2 linked regions of the Drosophila melanogaster genome follow. The protein of the gene in region 1 interacts with the protein of each later gene in a biochemical or structural test. Each region holds a gene or a part of one and is shown on either strand. Other genes may lie near its edges.

Region 1 (6,925 bases):
TGTGTTGTTGTTGTATTCGATGAGTGTAGACTTCTATACCTTGATTTAGTGTGTGTTTAAAATCTGGAATTATTTTGGCAATATTATTGTCTCCTTTTTATTGTTCATAGTTTTCTTCGGTTGTAAGGTAAGAATGAGAAGTGTACAAAATAGGGAATGTATATTTGTTCCGTTACATATTTCTTATTTAGTTATATTTATATATATATATATTTTTATTATTATTTGTGAATCTCCATCACATTGCGCTTTAGTGACCTATTCGATTCAGTTCGGTTGCGTCCGGCATGTCAAAGTATGATTTGACTAGCCTATGTGACCTGTTCAACCATGTACTGCTTCGGTGTCCAGCGCTATTTGTAATTCACGTTTGCTTGTTTTTTTTTTTTTTTTTTTTTTTGTCGTCCAAAATGGAACTAACTGTGCTTTTATTTTTCAGACTTAAGCTAAGCTAAATGTTTACAAAAGAATTCTAGTGTTCGTTGGCAACATGTATATATCGAAGTGCTGGTGCGGCGGTTCTTGTTTCTTAACCGAGAATTGTCGCAATCACATCCTGTCAAAGTGCTGTGTCTGCATTTGCAACTCGAATCAGCTCATAGGGGCAATGACTGTCTTGGCGGCTTGGCGGGTGGTACCGAATCGTGTATACTCTGTACTGTGATATCGGTAACTCCTCCCCCCTAAAATGAAGTGAATCAGCTCATAGGGGCAATGACTGTTTTGGCGGCTTGGCGGGTGGTACCGAATCGTGTATACTCTGTACTGGGATATCGGTAAGTCGTGCGCTCGGATGTTGAAATAATGGGCAGTTAGTCACAACACGCGAGGAGCCATACGTATGCGGGGATTGACGAGAAGAGTACCGGCGCGAGTCGCGCGGTCAGGACAGTCTAAATAGAGTGTTAAGGCGAAGGCTAGAACGTCCGGCAGTGAGAAGTCACTGAAGATCGAACTGTGAAACTGTCTGGCAATGAGAAACGCACAGACCAAAGAAGGCCCAGTCGAACAGGCACGTGGTCCGTTGTCAAGGAAACTCACTACAACGATGGCAAGGCGATGCAGGAGCAAGGGCGCAAGTGACGGCGATCACCGGAGGAGTCAGCTGTAAAATACTTCAATAAAGCTACTTTAATCTGAAACCCTGTCTTCTTCTCGGTCGGGCAATCACAAAAATATAAAATTGGTGGGACGAACCCACAAGCTCTTTAAGCTAGCCGCTGCAACTCGTACCGAGCAGAACTAAGAAAAACAGTTCATTACACTGGGAAAACTTCAGTAAACACAACTATATGGGATGCAAAGGAAAGGCTATGAGAATTCAAATAAGTTAGTTTGCTACGCAAGGCTCTATCTTTTTGATAGACGTTAGTATTTTAAGGAAGGTCATGGACCACTGCGGATGGTGCAGTGGTCTGGACGGGCCCCTTTTCTTATATTTTTATCCTTGGTTTCCAAGTATTTTACCGCCATAATATAAATATATATGGAAATGGTTAAAAAAAAGCTCATTAGGGACAGTTATTTTAAAAGATGAAATGCCACTTGTGTAAGAAAATTGTATTTTTGAGGGGTCATTTGTGCCGGTAGTCCGGACTCAATATTCACTTGTGGTCATAAACTAATCGGGACAGGTGGATAGAACGGAATCTTTAGCAATCCCAAGCTGGACTCCCATCCGCTGCCGATGTTAGCAACATTTGTGGATTTGCTACGATTTAGAACTGTGATCAGCTGTGGATTCCTGTTGCCAGTGGCTGCGTGGCGTTTCCCTTAGGCAGCCAACCATTAGCGGCTTTCTTGTGCTTTGGAAATTCCTCTAAAGGCTATTAAAATGTGAATCTAGCACAGAAAGGAGATCATCAGCTCAACGAAAACTATCTCTAGCTACGCAAAATTAAAATTAAACTTTATAGTACAGAAAGAGATCAGTTTGCACGATTAGAGGTTTAGATTTTGTTTGGGAGAGCGAGAGAGCGGATCCACAGTGCAGTGCACAAAAACAACATGAAACAGCACTACGCAACGAACAAAAGAGATAGTAAACAAAACACAAAGACAAAAGATTTAGTTAATTTCCTAGTGCAAAAATAAAAAAAAACACACGTAAAGCGAACGGAGTTTTAATAATTATCTTTACAAAATTAAATTATAAAAGAAATTTTTAAAAAAGCCTCCTCTGGAGACCAACCTTTTTCTTTGGGAATATCATTTGAATGGAGGTTATGGTTACTAGATGTTAAAAAAATTATCAGGAGAGTGCTATAGTTCAAGCAAAGACACTAGAATTCTAGGGTCTTTGGTTCAAGTGATCGACTTAGATACTCAGCTTATGGGAACACAAGTAAAACAAAGCTAGTGTGAATGCGAACTCAAATTGAATTATTTTTCTGGGATCTTGATAGATATTAAGAAGTAAAATGAGAAAAAATTTAAAAATTGTACCAAAGTGTGGGCGTGACCGGTTCGGCGGCTTTTGGGCGTTAGAGTAGGCATGGCAAAACGTTTTTTGGCAAATGGCCAAAAATATATGGTTCAAAATGTGGGCGTGGCAGTTTTGTGCAACTTGTGGGCGTGCCAACATGGCTCGAACTTGTGCTGCGTTTTTGTCTCTGGGCAGTCTGTGGGCGTTTACTCGTCATAGTAATTGGCAAGAGTAAAGTGTGAGCGTGGCCCTTTTTTATGCTGTTTTTTTCTGGCCAGAAATGGCTGTGTATTTGAATTAACTTGTCTTAATTTGCCTTTGGAATACATTACCTACCAGAGAAATGTTAAGCAGTGAATTGATGAAATAGTGTTCCACTGCGGCCGAAACCGAATTAAGTACACAAGTTCCCATCTTACCATTAATGACTCTTAATTTGTAATTTGTACGGAGGGATGTGGGGTTTTTCTAGATTTAATACCGATTCAGTTCATTCCTCACTTAAGGTAATTTTGTATTTAGACTAGTATTGCCCCATTTCTGTCACATTTCTCGGCCGCACACTACAGATTGAAATTTTTAAGAAGAGTTTCCCAAATAATGGCTGTTAATTACTACCAATTGTCGCTGGTGTCATTAGAACTGTTTATTTATTTTTACACCAATATAAACTGAAGCTGGTGACGAACACTTTTAAGCCTCAGTTTCAGACTGCAGCTTGGCAACATATGCTGCCTTATGAGCTGCAATCTTAGTCTTCCGTTGCTCGTTTGTGAGTTTCTTAGCATTCCACCTTTTCTTCGTAACGGCAGAAGACTTCTTAGCGGTGACCTTGTGTGTAGGGTCGTTACGAATTGCCTGGTGGGCTTTTTTATAGATATCCTCAAGCTGCAAAACCAAAGTAATGAATTAGACTTTTAATAATTAAATCAAGATCAAATTGTTAAAGCTCATATTTTTAAGACTAAATAATATATATGGTTATCTGAATTTAAATATACAATATTTGATGAAAAGTATGGACCAGGTTGAAAGACAAAGCAGTATATGTAATATGGATCAAGATCGCTAACACAGTCGATACGCAACATAAATTTTGAGAGCTCGGAATCTGAAATTCAACATACAGATGCACGAAGCATAATAAGATCAGCCCTTAAGGCAACAGGAGCATTATCTGCTCGGCTGGTGATCATAATCAAGGCATATATTGTCCAAATATGCTTTTTAACGAACCTATTATGTTATTTAATTCGCGAGTATTTGGATTATAAATTGTATAAAATGTGTAACCATAACAGGAAGTGTGATCCATTGGGAGAAAAACTTCGAACATAGGTTGCAGATTTTATGTTGTCCACTTATGGCACAGTTAGCGTCGTGTGCGAAACGCAGCTGTAATTTTTTAAGTGGACGTCTTGAAAAACTATGTAGTACTTACATCATCAGCACGAATGCCCAACTTGATGTATCGGCTAAACTGCCTTTTGAAGCTCTCCTCATCCTCCTCCTCCAAAGAACGCATATAGTCTGCAACGTGCTGGCCAAATATATGAGCGCGATGCACATCGGCATTAAAGCTCTTGGTTTCAGCAGAGTATCCAGGAAAGCGTTTCACAGAGTGAGGTATGTTTAGACCACCATCAACTGCTCCCTTCATAGCGCCAAACACACGGGCACCAGTTGTAGTACGAGCGAGTCCAACATCCAAGAAGCAACGGAATGCCCCTGGGCCGTCATCAACAGGCTCGACGTTGAACTCCTCACCAGTCACTTCAGTGCATCCTGCATATAGGGAGTCCAGTCCCAACTTGTTAAGGACACGACGGGCGACCAGCAGGCCTGTGCAGTAAGCAGCAGCGTAGTTGGTCAATCCAACCTTAAATAAATATAATGGGCCATCAAGTTGAGTACGCCAGAACGCAGTGGGAAAACTCACCTGGATCCCGTATTTGGGAAGCTCATGGGAATAAGCAGCGCACACCACGCGATCACCCTCGATGCGAGCATAGGCGATCTGTACTGTGATGTCCTTGTTGGACAAACGTACGATCAAACGGTACTTGGGAGTGTTGTACTTGTTCTTGTCCTGAAATGTTAGGCGTTTCCTGGCATAGTAATCGGTCTTTCCTTCGCGACGCCTTCGGAACTTGACTTGGTACCTCTTAAAGTACTGCTTGTTCTTGACTACCTTAACGAAACCCTGCAAAAAATAAAAACAAATGCAACTAATAAGCCAAACTTTTTAGACGCCTGAACACATCATTTTCTCGGCACGACCAAATCACTTATTTCAGTATTTATCTTAATAAATAAATGCTCAATGTTTCGAGTCCATGCTCGCTTTTCTATAGCACCTACCATTTTAAAATTTGATAACAATATAACCGCTAAAATAAAAAAGATTTATTAAAATCACGTGGAGTAGAAATATTTTACACATACCTCGCCGGAAATTGCTAGCAAAAAGAAGGAAAATAGTGCGGCCTTATTGGATCCAAGAAACAAATGTACTAAAAAATACCTTACAATAAAAATAATAAATGCCAATATAAGGCAAGACAGCGTCAAAGGCACAGCACAACTTATGGAACACTTGGAAATGGTGTCCAATTTAGAATTATTTATTTTCGATATTAAGTTGATAAGTTTCCTTTCCAGAATAGTGATGTGGAATCAGATTGACGTAGGTGTTAACATTCAACAACGCAATTTCTTAAAGTACGAAACAAGCGATGTGAACGGTATGAACGATATGACAGGTTTACACTGCTAATCGCATTTAATTTCACTTCAATAGCCATGTGAAGTATGACAATTAGATCAAGTAATGTTGTTAAATGCTACATTGTCTAACTGAGTTGTCTTCACAGATAGGGACGAAATAGAATTTTAAACTGCAATCACTGTACTATAATTTTTATATCCTCTGCTCGAATATATTACGGATTTTTTAATCGTATACTATACTAGATTCAATGAAAAATATGTACAGGTAGAAGGAAGCGTTTCCGATTTTGTAAAGTATATCAGGCATGCTCTGATAATAAAAAAATTTTAAGGGTATATTAAGAGTTGGCTTCTTGATATTGCCCAAAATGTTACCAAATTAGACAAAGGGTGACCCAGGAGGAAGTGTAACATCGGTTAAAATGGTTGGGACGTCCGCTTTAAGCTTCAGAGAAGTGGAAATGTGTAAATGTATAGCTTTCACATTAGAGTGAATATAAGTAAAATTTATAGGCTTGGAAAGATAGGCGAAATTCAATAATGAAATATAAGCCACCTAAACCCAAAAAGACCTAAAACCTAAAAGAAATATTTAACGTCTTATTATACGAATTAGTTGTAAATTAACTTCGACGTGACTACACGAAAATACACATATTTTTCCAGTGAAATCTATAATGAATAGCGCAAGTGTCATGTCTTTCGCTAGGAACTGTAGCATCGGCTTAGAGAATCTTAAGGCCGTTATATCTATTTGAACCAGTTCAGTCTTTCCTTGACCTTAAACACAATGTGACCCAAACCATGTTTCTCAAGTTGTGAAAGTGATAATAAAAAACTACTGGACCGATTAGCAATGCAATTTGTTGTGAAGATCCCGAAATTTTTTGAGCCTTTTTGAAAGTGTTCGTTTCCCCATTTTGCAAACATTTTAGTTCGTCGCCGATAAAAAAACGAGTTTGTTTGGCGACAGTGTTTGATTTGATTATTTCTGACTCAAATGAAATTGTGGCCAAAATCACAAACTAAATAACTAAAACATATAATTGCTTTGGGCAAACATTTATTTAAAAAAAAATATGTCTTCATTCTTCCCTACAAATCGACTGCAAAAATTATATTTGTAGGGTCTAGTATCTGCTTATGACTCGTTCGAATAAAAAAACGTATCTGCCTTGGCAATAAATATAGTGGTTAAATTTAAACCGCCCGACCGATTTCTCGGCTTTAAGTTTGCCTAACGCTTTTGTTCTCGTAATAGTGAGATTAGCACCGAAAATGCTGGGATGTGCTTAGTGGGTCTTTGTTGTTATACAAATGAAGATTAGTTAAGGAACTCTCCTTATAAATAAATAACGTTTTACCGCTTTATACTCGCCAAGGTCGCACTTATAATCACATTAACCATGAACCCGTACAATAAGTTTCAAGATATGGTTTTAAAGCAATGGTTGGTCATGGATGATGCACTTTTCCAAGCATGTGGGTTTTGTCTAGTTGCGGCATCTGATGACCAGTCGGTGTTTATCACTTGGGACAAGTATTATTTGCTAAACATACGCTTTAAGATGCCAGAGGACAGCTGCAGGATAAAAATGACTGCTGTGCGAATTCCTGTGCCTAAAAGTGGAGGAGGCTATATTAGGAGTGTGCATGCTTTGAGGTACAATACGATTCTGCATATGTCGAATGGGGAGTTATACAGCTTTACCTCATTTAAGGCCCTGAATCTTATAAAATGGCTCAATGCAGTTCGTTGTTTAGCTATAG
Region 2 (4,800 bases), on another chromosome or scaffold:
CTTTCGTATTAAGGGTATTGTTGCTCAGAATTTGCTCCAGCAATTTGAGAATGACTAAACTTATTGAATTTTATTTCTATTAATATTCACACTTATGCGCGAATTCTTTATGTTACTATAATTACAAATGCAGTGAACACCTTTTATAAGGAATGTATTATCTTATTTATTATTGAAAAATTTACTTGCCCGAATATTCCTCGCAGTGTATTTTACGTCGAGAGGAAGTGACGTACCTGTCACGATCGAGATTGTCACATTTTGGCAAATAAATTTCACTTGATCCCTCCACGCGGTTAAAATTAGAATTTAAATTAATTTAGTGCCCGAAGTGACCAATTGTTGCACTGCAATTGCACCCGAACCGAATCGTTTCAAATCCGATCGCGAAACGAACATAATGCTAATTGAGCGGGACAAATTCTGGGGTGCGAGCGAGATGGCTAGATGCGAGAGGAGGAGGGGCTGTCGTCGCTGAACTTTCGCTCTTTTGTTGGCCATGTCGACGTCATTAAAGTGCAGTTAATGTGCCAAAAGGTAGAACAAAAGTCAATGTCAAACGGCAGCTGCTCTCATTTTCCTCGGCAGTGGAAAAGCGGTTGAAATAGGGGTGGTTAACTGGTGGGCAAGGGCGCGGGAAAATCAAATCAGAAACTGCATTTCCGCAACAAATCGCCGCTTGACAGTAATTACCGTCAACACGAGCGGTAATTTATGACTATCGAATTGCGAATCTTGATACCCTGTATGGAAAATTGTTATGGGATTTTAACGGAATCTGCCTGCAAATAGGCTGGGAAATGCGAAAATGGCGAGTAGAGGGTATTGCCTTTGCACAGAGACACAGAATTTCCAACTATTCACAGGCATATAAAGGATTTAATGGTTCCCATTAACTGACTGGCCATGAATTTTTATAATTTGTTGGCCCATTTTCACCACACAAATGCCTAAATGGCATGCGATTTAAATACAGGCGAGCTTTTAGACTTGCCCACTTATTAATCAAGAGTAAAGTTCACAAATATAATTCATAAATCTTATTAAGTAGTTCCAAGCAAATATGTGGTTTCATCCTAAATGGAGTACTCCGTCAGATTTCTGCTGTCCGATCCGCTGAAAATTGATGGAAATTGGATTACAAATAGACCGCACTGCACCTTTATCGGCCACTCATAATCAAATGCGTTTCATGAATGGAAGGGCAAAATAAGAAAAAAAAAATAGTAAAAAGCAAATTCAACAAGCGTGTTGACAAAAAGCGCCAGCGACGTCACGCGATTTGGGGGCAATCAAAGGGGCAAATAAAACACCGCATGTGGCAAATTGCGCCCACTGTTGACCCCAGCAGTCGTTGCAATTACATAGACAATTACATTAACATTAAGGCGTAGTGGTCAGCAGTTCTGCAAATTAAAATCGAATCGAATCAATTGAAAAGCCACCAAACATGCGAATCAATCTGCTGATGGGCTAGCAATTCAATTACGTTGTTAGCAGACAGCAAACTAAGTGAGCAGTCAATAGTGTTCGGTTCGTCGACTTCATTTAAATTTTAAATGATCTTATCAGCTTTTTGAATTTCGAATCGTAACCGCCTAGCGCGCTTAAAATACAACCCTGTTTATTGTGAACCCACAACTTATAGTCACTCTGGCAAGGCCCGGTGAGCTGTCACTTAGCAGCCTTGCCACTTTACTGTCAGATCATTTTTCTCTCGCTTTCAAACAAGCCCTGTGTTATAGAGCACAAATCATTTATCAAAAATTTCGTATCTTATTTTCACAAATTTATCGCTTGGGCCAAACACGCCCGAAATCTAGCCAAAACCATCCGAAGTGGCCAGTAACGCGCGCCGATTGTAAACGGGTGGCAACTCCAGTAGAACGTTGCCGAGCTGCGAAAGTGTGCAAAAGCAAAACGAAGAGAACGCAGCGCAGCCGAAAAAAATTGAAGCAGCACTGCACGCGATATATTTTGTATTTTCAAAGGTTAAAGCCGCATTCACAGGCATCCGCCGAGGGCAAACGAAGTGCAAAAGTGCCGGCCAGCAGTAAGTTTTCAAAAATTTGCAGTCTCTTGTGTATTACAGCCGCAAAAAGTGTTGAAAAAATTTTGCAAGAACCGAAAAAAACCAAAAAATTTTGCACATCGTCGGCGGCTGCGACGTCGACGACAGCAGCGACGCCGCCTCTCTGCCGGCAGCGGCAGCAAAAGGGAGCAGCTGAAAGAGGAAAACCGATAAAATACAAAAAGAAAAGTAGAGAACGAGAACGAGAAAAACGGCGAGCGGCTACGCAACGCTGATGTTTCTTCTCTTTGAGAAAAGCGAAAATCGAAAGCAAGTGTGGAAATTATGTGTAAATTCGATATGTAAATTCGGCATGTGCCGTTCGTAGTGTGCGTACAAATTCTTATTGGAAAAGCGTGTTCATCGGTGTGAACGAACGAACGAAGCATTTCGGCGGCGAGAGAGAGAGAAAAAGAGAGCGAGAGCGCACACGCTTGGTGGTGGTCATGTGTGTGTGAGGCGGCGGGCTCACACACACAAAGGGAGAGAGACAAAGAAGAAGAGGAAGCACTGCGCTGCTGCGCTGCCGGCAAAGCCGACGTCGCTGCCGGCTTCGCCGCCAGCTGCATTTAGTGTTTAGCTAGGAATTATCTGGCCCCCAAAATAACTTCAAAATTTTCTTCAACTATTTTTTTTATTAGTGTGTCAATATATAGTCTCCCTCTCCAGATACAAAAATTCAAAAATACCAAAAACAAAACCATTCCATATTATTATTGATTACAGGCAACATTTGAAGCAGCAGCCGCCAAGCAAAAGACTGATTTGAGTACAAGGAACTAGAAGCAGGAACGCGAGGTTTCTGCCACTGCACACTGAATTGTGAGCATACCCACCCATACCTAGCTATATCTATAGCCCTAATATCTCCATTCTTCCCCCTCAGGAGCCCCAGATAACGCGGCAAACTGCAGTCGACGGGGAAAAGTCGGGAGTTGAAGGCTGGGCAGCATCAGCATCAGCAGCAGGAGGGACAGGGACGGACGGCGAAGAACCACCAGAACCAGAACCAAAACAAAGCGGATAAACCAGGAGGCACTACGTCTGGCGATATGGAAGATCTCCTCGTGGAAGTTCGGCTCGACAATGGCGCCTACTACAAGGTGAGTTGATTCAATTGGTGGAATAAAAATGTTGGTAAGGGGGTGACAAAAAAAAAGAAGGAAAAACAGAGGAGCAAGGAGTTGGGGCAGCAGCTGCCTCAGTTTCTAATTTCGTGGATTTTAGCTTTATTTCTATTAATAAACAGCAACATTTTGAGTGGAGTCTCGACATCATCGCCACCACCACCACCACTACCACTACCACTACTACACTAATACCAGCACCATCGCCAATCTGCATACACCAACGCACTCACGCACACTGCGTTGTGGGGGTGCCGACGTCGACGTCGATGTCGATGTCGACGCGGACCGCGCCGCCCACTGCGCTGCCCACTGACGTCGTCGTGCATTCGGTTTTGTTGTTTTGATGATTTCCCTTTCTTGTCGTTGCAATTTATAAAGATAAGATCCGATTAAACCATCTTATATCGCGGTTAAGTGATTTTCGCGGATAGATTACAGGTATACGAGGTTGTTAGATCTCGAATCATTAGTCTTATGAACGAAGTTCAGTCTTAAATCCCATTCATAATGCTAGCTTTTGATGTGTTTTATTGTTCACTGTTTAAACAAATTCAGCAAAAATGTATGCTTATAGGCTTAAATTTTCCAATGATAATATAGACATTTTGGAAACCAGATAACAGTGCACTTAAGAATATTCTTATACTTTCAATTATTGTTCTTAGTACTTATCCCCATCATTAGCTAACCTATTCTGGAAACCTTCTGGATATGTATAGTAAGGTAGTGAATACTTTGCATAGCGTTGCCTTTGATTTCAGTGCTTGGAATCAAAACAAGGGCAATGCACATAAACACACTCGACTAGAGCGACTTCCCTGATGCTGATGATTCAGCTGTCGGCTGTTTGCATTTCGGATAAGGTTCTACGACTACTCGCTTATCGGAGATATACGGTTTCCCTCGCTAATGCCATTGCAATTCTCGATTTCACAATGGGACGGGATTGGGGGGACTATCGTAAAAATATATTTTATATACTTATGCATATACACACATCCGAATGGAGGTATATCATAGGCAATGGCCACATTAATGACACACATTTTTCTCTCTCTACTCCTATGCCTTCCGATGCTGGCCCTGTCAATGCTCTTGTATTTCATCCGTTTGCTGCCTGCCTGCCGCCAACAAAAAACTACAACTGCAAACTAAAAACTACGACGACGACGACAACAACAACAACAGGGCCAGGTGACAGCTGTCGCCGATGATGGCATCTTTGTGGATGTGGACGGGTAAGTTTGTTTAAACAAACAAATCTGCGAACAGGGCAAACAACAACAACTAGAGCGTATTTTCTAACTAATTTGCAACGATTAATACAATCAGAGCTGCAGCAGGAGCAGCAACAACCACCGACGCGACTTCTTGGCATCCGAATTAGAAATTAGAGATTCTGGGCACGCATCATTTGTGTCGTCCGCCATCCGCCAAACCACTTCCCGCCGAATCCCCTACTGCGGACTCACTAATTTGGCGCAATTTGTTAAACGCCAGACGCCGCTGCAGCAGTTTCTGTTGCTATTAGTTGATAAAAAAGAAAAAAAAAATGAGCCAAATCAAATAAAACTGCTGACTGACAGACTGACCAACGCC

The links.
Region 2: the proteins of RpL5 (region 1) and Fmr1 form a complex in vitro, tested with the Drosophila melanogaster proteins (2 studies listed by BioGRID).

What each region holds. Positions count from the first base shown.
Region 1 is NT_033779.5:22,531,751-22,538,675, forward strand, and holds RpL5 (ribosomal protein L5), read right to left. Parts: upstream 5,135-6,925; 5' UTR 4,790-5,134; coding exon 4,787-4,789; intron 4,629-4,786; coding exon 4,365-4,628; intron 4,305-4,364; coding exon 3,867-4,304; intron 3,844-3,866; exon of another isoform or gene 3,708-3,843; intron 3,314-3,707; coding exon 3,119-3,313; 3' UTR 529-3,118; downstream 1-528. Other genes in the region: CG17490 (uncharacterized protein), read left to right, coding at 6,562-6,925. UniProt on the Drosophila melanogaster protein: Component of the ribosome, a large ribonucleoprotein complex responsible for the synthesis of proteins in the cell.
Region 2 is NT_033777.3:10,107,069-10,111,868, reverse strand, and holds the start of Fmr1 (fragile X messenger ribonucleoprotein 1), read left to right. Parts: upstream 1-1,747; 5' UTR 1,748-2,053; intron 2,054-2,260; exon of another isoform or gene 2,261-2,345; intron 2,346-2,645; exon of another isoform or gene 2,646-2,797; 5' UTR 2,798-2,893; intron 2,894-2,957; 5' UTR 2,958-2,979; coding exon 2,980-3,174; intron 3,175-3,526; exon of another isoform or gene 3,527-3,639; intron 3,640-4,389; coding exon 4,390-4,439; intron 4,440-4,800. UniProt on the Drosophila melanogaster protein: Polyribosome-associated RNA-binding protein that plays a role in neuronal development and synaptic plasticity through the regulation of protein synthesis of mRNAs.